Linked DNA regions of Caenorhabditis elegans. The protein of the gene in region 2 interacts with the protein of the main gene of each other region in a biochemical or structural test. Each region holds a gene or a part of one and is shown on either strand. Other genes may lie near its edges.

What was found.
Region 1: of the proteins of npr-22 (region 2) and flp-22, one has a biochemical effect on the other in vitro, tested with the Caenorhabditis elegans proteins (one study listed by BioGRID).

The regions. Positions count from the first base shown.
Region 1 is NC_003279.8:8,657,158-8,660,690, reverse strand, and holds flp-22 (SPSAKWMRF-amide 3), read right to left. Parts: upstream 1,793-3,533; 5' UTR 1,780-1,792; coding exon 1,654-1,779; intron 1,400-1,653; coding exon 1,329-1,399; intron 1,008-1,328; coding exon 923-1,007; 3' UTR 724-922; downstream 1-723. UniProt on the Caenorhabditis elegans protein: FMRFamides and FMRFamide-like peptides are neuropeptides. SPSAKWMRF-amide: Acts as a ligand for the npr-22 receptor in vitro.
Region 2 is NC_003282.8:8,557,843-8,563,973, reverse strand, and holds npr-22 (Neuropeptide receptor 22), read right to left. Parts: upstream 4,543-6,131; 5' UTR 4,507-4,542; coding exon 4,357-4,506; intron 3,977-4,356; coding exon 3,844-3,976; intron 3,696-3,843; coding exon 3,154-3,695; intron 2,724-3,153; coding exon 2,596-2,723; intron 2,538-2,595; coding exon 2,373-2,537; intron 2,239-2,372; coding exon 2,175-2,238; intron 1,299-2,174; coding exon 1,176-1,298; coding exon of another isoform or gene 1,133-1,175; 3' UTR 813-1,132; downstream 1-812. Other genes in the region: mpst-6 (thiosulfate sulfurtransferase), read left to right, coding at 1-149, 192-370. UniProt on the Caenorhabditis elegans protein: Receptor for the LURY-1-1 and LURY-1-2 peptides which control food-related processes including feeding, lifespan, egg-laying and roaming behavior. Receptor for flp-7 which stimulates serotonin-induced fat loss.

The DNA.
Region 1 (3,533 bases), on a different chromosome or scaffold from region 2:
ATAACAGTTGAATGAGAAAATTATGATGCGGTCCAATACAGCAGTAGCTCAAGAATGTATTGAAACGAAACAGCCAGTACTATGCAAAAAAATAAAACAGCATAAACCATTTTACAAGGAAAAATGTCTCAGGCAAACGAAACCCAAGTGGACATGGCTGGTTTAGGTTTTCCGTGGGATCCGCTTGGGTTTTGAGTGGGATCCACTTGGGTTTCGTTTGCCTGAGGTGATTTAAAAAACTTAAAATTTATTAAAATTAAAAAAAAACAATTTTCATTGATATTGCGTATAATTTAACGTCTTTTACGCAATGCACACACTGACGTAAAAATGCGTACACAGTAGTTTTAAAACTTTTTCATAAAACTGTATTTAAATAGATCGAAAGTTTTTGAGAATTAAAAAAAATTATTTGCAAAATAATAAAACCAATTTGTGTTTATGCACATGGAGTCAGAATGTCTTATTTCGCTTTGATCTTCAAAAAATGCGGGAAGTGAGACGCAGTCATCTCATCTGATTTCACATGGCTAAGAGCGTGCTGACGTCACAATGTTTTTGGAAAAATATTCCCGCTTTCATTTACCGGAACAAAAATTAAAACATGTCTCTAAAGACAGATTTCTTCGGAAAACTGGGTAGCATCGTGCACGATCGTGTAATTAGTTAGTCTCACATCATTTGTGAACACAAAAGTCGCTTTCTATTGACACTAATTGACACTAACAAAGATCACATTTATTCAGTAGCCATTACACAGTTGTATCCTGAAACAAAAATAATGTATTTTTGTCCAAAAATATTATTTTTAAGCCACAAAATAAAATTTCCAAGTCGAGTGATTAACGAGAAGAAGATGGGTCAGATTTCTAGGTCGATGGGAAAAAAAGGTGATAGAAGTAAACAAAATATAAACAATAAATTAATAATCCTGTTCAGAAACTGCTTCAGCTCCACTACGCTTTCCAAATCTCATCCATTTTGCTGATGGAGATCGTTTTCCGAATCTAAAAATTGTATTGTTCCGGATTACATGAGAATTCAATTTATTTATGCTAAAATTTTTCGAGTTTTTGAATGTTCATGCTGAGCTATTGGAGTTAACTTTTATGACAAAAGTTCCAAAAACTTGAGAATATTTTTATGTCCTATAAATTCTCATTCAGCCAGCATAAATTCTTATAATTGTAGAACTAACTTTTATGTGTTCCCCCCATCTCCCCCACAAACAACTTTTGAAAAAAAAAACATTATTCTTCAAAAGTTGATGTCATTTTCACAAAAGAAAACGTTTTGAATTTCCCACGGTTTCAGCTCCCTCGCCTTACCTCATCCACTTGGCTGATGGTGATCTTTTACCGAATCGCATCCATTTGGCTGACGGGGACCGTTTGACTTGCTATAAATGTGAGAAATTTAAAATGAAATTCGACACCTAATATTGCTCCTGAACTTTCTTTACCTAAACCATTGTGTTCGCTATATACAATTATTAGGACGAGAAAAGTTAGATAATGATAATGGTTGTTGATACTTAAATATTGAGCAAAACTAATAGTAGATCAAACTTTATAGTTTTGTTCTGTCATCTATCGTAGTACAAGAAACTTGACGCTCAAATTCCCAGAATCGAAGTCTAGCCAATAAACATACTTGCTCCATAAGACGTGCATCATTCTGTTCGAGACCAGCCAACTGTTGTCCATCCAAATCGAAGACCTGAGCCGACACCAATGATACCATCAAAACAACACAAAGGGCAATCATGGAACGGTTCATTTTTGTGTATATCCTGAAATAAAACTTAATTTGGTAATATTTATTGAAGTTGAAGGTAGACAATCGAATATAGAGATTGCAGGTATGACTATCAATAAGTCATATGTTGTCAATGTGTGACGTCACGCAAAGCCATTAGTTTAGTTTGTCATAAAGTTAGTTTGACTTCTTAAAATGATATTTTGAAGCATACAGAGGATCCTGATAACTTGCAAGCTTAGAGTACAACGGCGAAAAATGAAAATAAAACTTTAATGGTTATTGAGTTCATTGAGAATATTCACTTATTATAAGGAAAATAAAAACAACAGATTGTTCCGAGGAAATTATGATTTTCAGAATATTTTCAATTTCCTTTCTTTGTTTTTGTTGGTTATATGACAACAAAACGTTCCCATAAGCAGTTGAATGAGGGCTCATAAATAAATAATTGCAATTAAAAATAAGATCAACATATTCAGATTCATCTGTTTTTTCAGTGAACAATCATATAACTCTAGTTCAGGAACTACTTATTTCAAATTGAGCAGAACTAATATGCGGTTTCCGGAAGGCTTTTTCAAATGATCTTTGTCATTTTAAGAGTATATAGTTTTCATTTAAAAGTATAATGTAAGTTTTCCCCGAAAATTAATAGGTATGAACACTCAAATTTTCACTGAAAAGATTGTGACTTCTCTGGGAATGTCCCTCGCAAAAAAAAACGTTGATATTGTTGTGATCACTAAAGTGTGGTTCCAATTCAATTTTTCCACATTCACTGCTCAAAAGGAAACCGTCAAGTGGAATGAAGATGCTTCTCTTGCCATCAGATTCAATTTCCCTCTTAGCGAGAGAAACGAGAAAACTGTTAGGTGGGTGAAAAAGAAGAAGGAGAAATATACTGAAAACAAGTGCCAATATACAATATATCCTTGTTCTCACGCTCTGCTCTATTCACATTTTCTAACCGAAAAAAAATGTAAAAGTAATTGGGATTATAGTCCCAGAAGGCATGTGATATTGGAAAACAATGATGTGATATAAAAACTTTTATTATAATGTAAACGTATTGTGATATGCCTTTCTTTTTGAAAATAATTAAATTAAATTTTTGAATAAAGTAAAGCGAGGGTCTTTTCTATATGATGCCCTCGTGGATAGTATAGTTTTAACTACAGTAACACGTGGCATCCTCATGTTTAGTAGCGTGACGTCACACCTCCCAAAAAGAAAGTTGCCGCCTTTTCGGTGGGTCAAATGGGTAACGAGAGTTGCCAGATTTTGAAATTTGATCTCAATTTTGATAATCTTGTTGGATGTAAAGAAAAACAATTAAATTGCCAATTTTCAGAGACTTCCCCCATAAAAGCTCCTGAAAAAAATAAAACGCGTTTTTTTCACTTTTCAGGGGTAGTAATTGTTGGGCTGAAAAAAGCTAGAAGGCTGAAAAAGTTAGATAATGAAAAAATAGAGAAATTTAATGCAATGAAAACAAAGAAATGAGTCAAGAATGCGACAATGATCACATAATATTTATGCTCAATTTCCTGAGGGTTCGTTTTTTTTTTTCAATTTTATTTGTCAATTTTTTTTGTGAAATTTTCGTTTCAAATGAGAAAAGGTACCGGAAATTGAATGAAACTGAAAAAGGAAACGCTGTGCAAAAAGTGATGGATGACTCAGTCATTTTTCATGAAACATTGGGCATTTTCTGATTTAATTTTTTTTTCAAAATTATATACTAGGTGGTGTTTCCTGCAAGTGACAGGACT
Region 2 (6,131 bases):
TCGTTCGAAGGAAGAGTTTATCGGAAAAGTTCCAATTGGATATCCAGACTCGAAAGCCGAAGGTGTTCGTTGCAAGGATGCGATTCACTTCCCAATCGGAGAAGTTTGTGCTGCCAAGGGATTCAAGAAGAAGACTGATTGTGATCAAGGTTAGTTGATATCATTTGCAGAAGTTAACTGAATACTTCCAGCCTTCGCCGCCAAGGGAATCAAAGTCGGAGACACCGTTGTCATTGGTTGCGGAATCGGACTCTCAGCTTCAGCTATTTGGCTCGCGGCTGCTCGTTCCGGAATCGTTGCCAAGCTGTACAATGGAGGAGTCCACGAGTTGGCTTACAAGGCGCCACAACATCTCAACACAAAGGGATAAGTGACAATCATTTCTGATTTATTTCTGCATACAACAAGTCGCTGACGGTGTTTTGTGTTTTTTGGTTTTCATATGCTTTACTTTTGTGAAGTGTATGAGAAAATTGAAGAATAAAGATTGAATGAAAATGCATAAAAATTGTTCACTTTGATTGTTTTCTTGTCTGTTTTCTGGAGTGACTATATACTTTAAATATAAGTGTCTGCCTATCAAGACTGCTTATTTCATTTTTCTTTAATAAAATACTTGCATACAATTCACGGAAAATGCATCCCTTCTAAAAATAGACAAATGCCGAATCTCTGTAAATAAACCTTCACACGTGGAACTACAAGCTTGAAACCGAAATCAATCAAATATTTATCTGAATTGCTCAGTAATTTGCCAGTTTACAAAATTTCAGTCAACTCATTGGATTCTTTTAAATCTGTCAGATGTAAATTTGTAGTATTCTAACATTTATTTCTACATTTAGTTTTGAAAAAATATTCAAATAAAATGAAAACACGCAATTTGTATGGTACAAGTTTAAAATATTGGTGATGATTCGTGGATTTGGTGGGGCGAGTATTTACCGGTATGAAAAGCGTTTCAGACAACAATTGATGTTTCATATAAAATTGTTTCTTAGGAGATCTGAGGGGTTTTTTCTTACAATACAATAAAATGGATGGAATATAAACATAATTTGTGAAATTATGCTTTAAAATACAATTTCAAATAACAAAAACCTTGAATCTATGGTCTTCTATAGCTTTCCACTCAAGTACATGGTAGATCAATTTTCTTAATGATACGGGAAAAGCTACGCGAGAGAATTGGCAGAGTTGTTTCGGACGACGACGAGTGGTCGGGCTTCGAAGAAACGTGCCGAACGACATGTTTGCCTGTCAAGGACTCCACTTCGTGAATATCTCGTAAGCGATGTCTGAAAATATTGAAAATTAGGTTGTGGCTAGGAAGAAAGTCGATGTTGTGGAAATAATCAGATTGGAAAATGTGTACTAGGCAGTGGATATAATTGAGGCGTTTAATTAATAAAAAGGGTTTAGAAGTAAAGCATTTGAATTTAAAAACTGTTTTTAAAGTTTTACTTACAAGTTCTTATGGTTCTAGGTTTCGCTAAACTTCATCGGCAAACACTTTCTCAGTAGTAGGGGTTTTCCCTCTATCATTTGGTGGCAAAATTTAGTTCGCAGTTAATTCGCGACAGGCACATAATGACTCAGTAAACAAGCACAATGATTTCATAGCAATCCTGGCTCAATGTGCTCATTATAGGCAGCTTACGAGTCGCAGTATGCGCAATGTCCGATTTTTTTGACGATGTGTAGATAAATCACTGCTCTAGGATTCTGATGGGTCCATCGCAAATTAACTGCGCTGAACGACCTAGGCTGACTTAGAAGATTTTTAATTTTGCTAATTTAACGTACCGTATTTCCTCTCTTAGTAATGCACCGGACAACTTTACTTTGTAACGTTATATATCGGTTTATTTTGAATATATCATTATATCTTTAACTACGAAATTATAGAAAAAGAACTAAAAAATATTTTGTTAGTTGACAATTTTTAAATGGAACAAATGATAACTGAGATATACACTGTCAAAGTTGAACAATGGTGTGCAATACTAAAAGAGGAAATACGATATACTCATAATTTAAAATGAAATTAACTTAATCAACATATTAGTGCATGTGAAGCAGTGCAAAATAAACTTTAAAATGTAAAAATAAAAAAGCCAAGCCAAACAAAAAGTCAAGAAGGACAAAAAACATGGGTTAGAGAACATCCTTACAGCAGGTTTTTCATCGCTTGAAGTCGGATTTATGACACCAGAAAACCGTGAACGGTTTCGAAAACTGAATGATATTGTTGAGTTATTAAAATTATCAAACTGGTTATCAACAAATAAGGTTGATACATAAATAAACTGAATTGCTCCTAACTCTTGGCTTCAATTCAAAAACAGACAACTTTGTAGAAATTGACATACCTTCTGCTAGTATTATCAGTTAAAAGACGAAGTTCTTTAAATGATATACATGGAAGAAGTTTTGAAGAGAAGAAACAGAATCCTTCACGGAAACGGGCATTTCGAATGAAATAGATAATTGGGTTGACCATTGAATGAGACATGGCAAGTCCATGAGCAAACCACCTCAAAATGCGATTTTTAAAACCAAATTATTGAGTCAGATTAAAAGAATATTTCTTACCACAAATACAGAATATATCCCCAACTGTTGATATCTGGATAGAATTCTGGAATGACGTTGATCAGTATAAGTAAAGGAAGCCAACAAAGTGCGAAGAGTGCCGAAATGAGAATCACCATTGGGACCAGCTAAAAATCTTATTTAATTAACAGGTTTCGTTTCTCACGCGGTAATATTTATTGTATTTGATAAAAATAAGTAAAAACGATATTTCAATCTACTGAACAACTTTATCAAACCGTCATGTAATAGGCAGGTAAAATGTAATAACTTCGAACTTTGATTTAATTTTTTTCAATTTTAAAGTTTCACTTAATAATGATTTGGAAAAGGTTATGTCAAAAACGATTTTTGATTATTATTTTTATGCTACACATGAGAATATTGTTCCTATAAATATAGGGGTCGGTTGACTTTGATTATGGTTATTATTATCATCACCGCACTGAGGAGCCATTGATTGTTGCATTATTTCCATATTCTTATTATTCTAATAAATCAAAACTGGGAGTTTTTGAAAGGTTAGGCTTAAATTTTTAATAATTCCAGAAATCTCACCTTTTTGACACTTTCATGTCGATCAACGATCATTTTCTTTGTTGCTCCATTCTGCATTCCTGGTACTCGACTATTCCACATTTTAATTCCAATATGTGTGTAAGTTATTATTAAAACTGCTTGAGGTACAACATATTGTAGAATTAAGACCATTGAAGAATACACTTTTCTCACTTGTTCTCCAGAATCTCCAAAATACGTCCAATTTTCTCCACAATTCGGTAAACCGTCTTGGTCTTCGAAAAATCTCGTTGTGAAGAGTAACGGCAACGCCATTAGGATACTGAATATCCACGTGGCAGCTACCAGATAAAGAGCTCTTCGTCTTGTAATTCGAATATTTGGAGTTAAAAGGAACATTATAGCCATCCACCGATCAAAACTGATAACGACAAGTGTCCAAGCTGATAAAAATACAGCCATTGCTTGAAGGAATGCTAATAAAGAGCACATCATTGAGCCGAAGAGCCAACGTTGATCATCATAAATCAATACTTGCCAATAGCTGAACGGAATGCAGAATACTGATATGAGAAGATCAGCTGCAATTTTAGTTGTTTTTTTGGGAAATTTGCTCAACATCTTAGATTAATTAATTTTTTAAACTTATCCATTTAGAAGCTCATATAAGTTCTGGAGATTTGAAAAATTATAAAAAGTTTTCAAAAATTCAAAAGTAACAAAACCCACCAACTGCCAAGTTCAATATCAAAATATTAGTCGCCGTTCGAAGTCGTTTAAAATAAACAATAACCAGAATAACGAGCACATTTCCATAGACACAGCATACGCAAAGTATACTATAGAAAAGAATACATAACATCTGTAAAAAATTAGTAATAAATAGGTACAAATATTAAAGGTAATAATGTAGTAATTTTATTCATTTTTTACACTTAAAATGGCCTCTAAAAATTATACCGAATTTTAATAATGATAGCACTTGAAAAATTTTCAAAACTTTTTATTTACGGTTCAAGTTTTGAAGAAAACGCTATCATAAATTAACTAAAATAAAAGTACATGGCACGTTAAAATCAATTTTCAGCAGGTAAAATTGGCTAAAAACATGGCCAAATTGCCTAAATATGAAATGTAAAAAAAACTAATTTTAGTTCCTTTTTTCAAAGTTTCAAAACTCTTGTAAAATTTGGATTTTTAGATATACTTTGAATGTATAAGAATATTTTTTAAAAGTCTCACCTTCATACTTGGTGTCAAATGATAAATATGATTCATTTCTTGAACAGCTGGATTTTCAGTTGTCGTCGGTTCGTTTCGCATCATAATTTCAGAGGCTGTCGTCGTGATTCTGGAGAGCAAACTGCTTCCAATACCCCCTCCTTCGTCCATATTTGCTCACGAATTAGATGACGAATCGTTCGATCTGAAATTTAAAACAATTTATTCGGAAAGAGTTTGGGGAAGTGTTCCAAATAAGGAAGACCACTTGTTCATAGAAAACCGAAAATTAAAAACAAAGAAAAAGAGAACATATTTCGGAGAAATAAATGAATATGAAGAAACCAAGAATGTATTTTCTCGCACATTTTTTAGATCAGAAATGTTGAAAGAGAAACCTTCAAATTTATGAGAATGTAGGAGAAGGATAATATTAAGAAAGTGTATCAAATTTTGTTGTTTGAAATTGATTAAAAAGTAAATTTCTATAAAGTGAAAAATTATATAAACGAAGAAGGTCAATTAGCAGTTGGAAAAATAAGGCAAAGATCAAACAAGATTTTTTTGTGATTCTTGGGTTTTCGGAAGCAAAGTATGAGAGAATTAGAGGAACATAGGATGCTCGCAATGATATTTGGATGTTTGTTGACCTCGAAAAATGACTATAGTCTTTGCGGTTTTGTAGAAAAAAAAATATAATGTTTCCGAATCCAGAAAATTTGTTAAAAGTGTGGTATATTCGAAAAATAATTCTTTTGGGAAAGTCCAGTGGGAATTAAAAAAATATATGGCAAAAGTATAGGGAAGGGAAAAACTTGAAGAACTATCCTATTTTTCGCACAAGGATGATTGGGGAATGATTACAAAATGCAGAAGTGATAGTTTTTGATTAATAAATAGGTACATTGTAACCGAAAAATCCAGAAGGTAGGCTGCTAATATCTGTTTTCGAAATCAAAATTAATAAGATGATTTCATCTGAAAATGTGGCAAACTTTCTTGAAATCTGCCATGTTTAAATAGTGATATAGTGATAGTAGTATCTAGTGATCTGTAGTGGTCCCATTTTGACACATGATCCATCAATTTCAATGAGAAAGGTCAAATCAGCCAGACATGTGTTGTATTAGTTTACAAATGAACTTTGCAAGATAACAGGAATTTATGGAAGAAAAATGTTGGAAAAATGCGTGTCTACCGAAGTTTTAGACATGAGTAATATGATCATACGATAGAGTACAAGTACAATATGAATACTTGAATAAAGTACAAACTTTTATTGCAGGGTTAGAGCACGTGCTAAAACTTGAGAAACTTGAACAAAATCAAGTAAAAGAAAATTGTTACAGATTCTTTAAACCGAAGTTTTCCAATTGTATTGTGCTAATTGTATGTTCCAATAAAGAAACTCTAGCTAACTGTTAATTATAAAAATTTAAGATTTTGGATACGCGATTGGTTTCTAGAATTTAATCGAATGAAAGATTACCGTCGTTTTATCGTATTCTTCAACACTATATCTCAATAATTTTAGCTGAATTTAATTCTTATTTGTCTATTTTTTTGTAGAAAAAACTATTGACCAGATAGGACAAAAAAAAACTGAAATTTATTAAAATATGTCTAAAATATGTTTCAATGATGTTATAATCAGGAAATGATAAGGTAGACCTCAGTACATATGACACCTTTCACGTTATTAGCAAGAATGTACATAGATATCTCAAGATTCAGATAGATTACGTCATCACGGCATGAAAATGTCTCAAATGTACATCTCAATTAGCATAAAAATA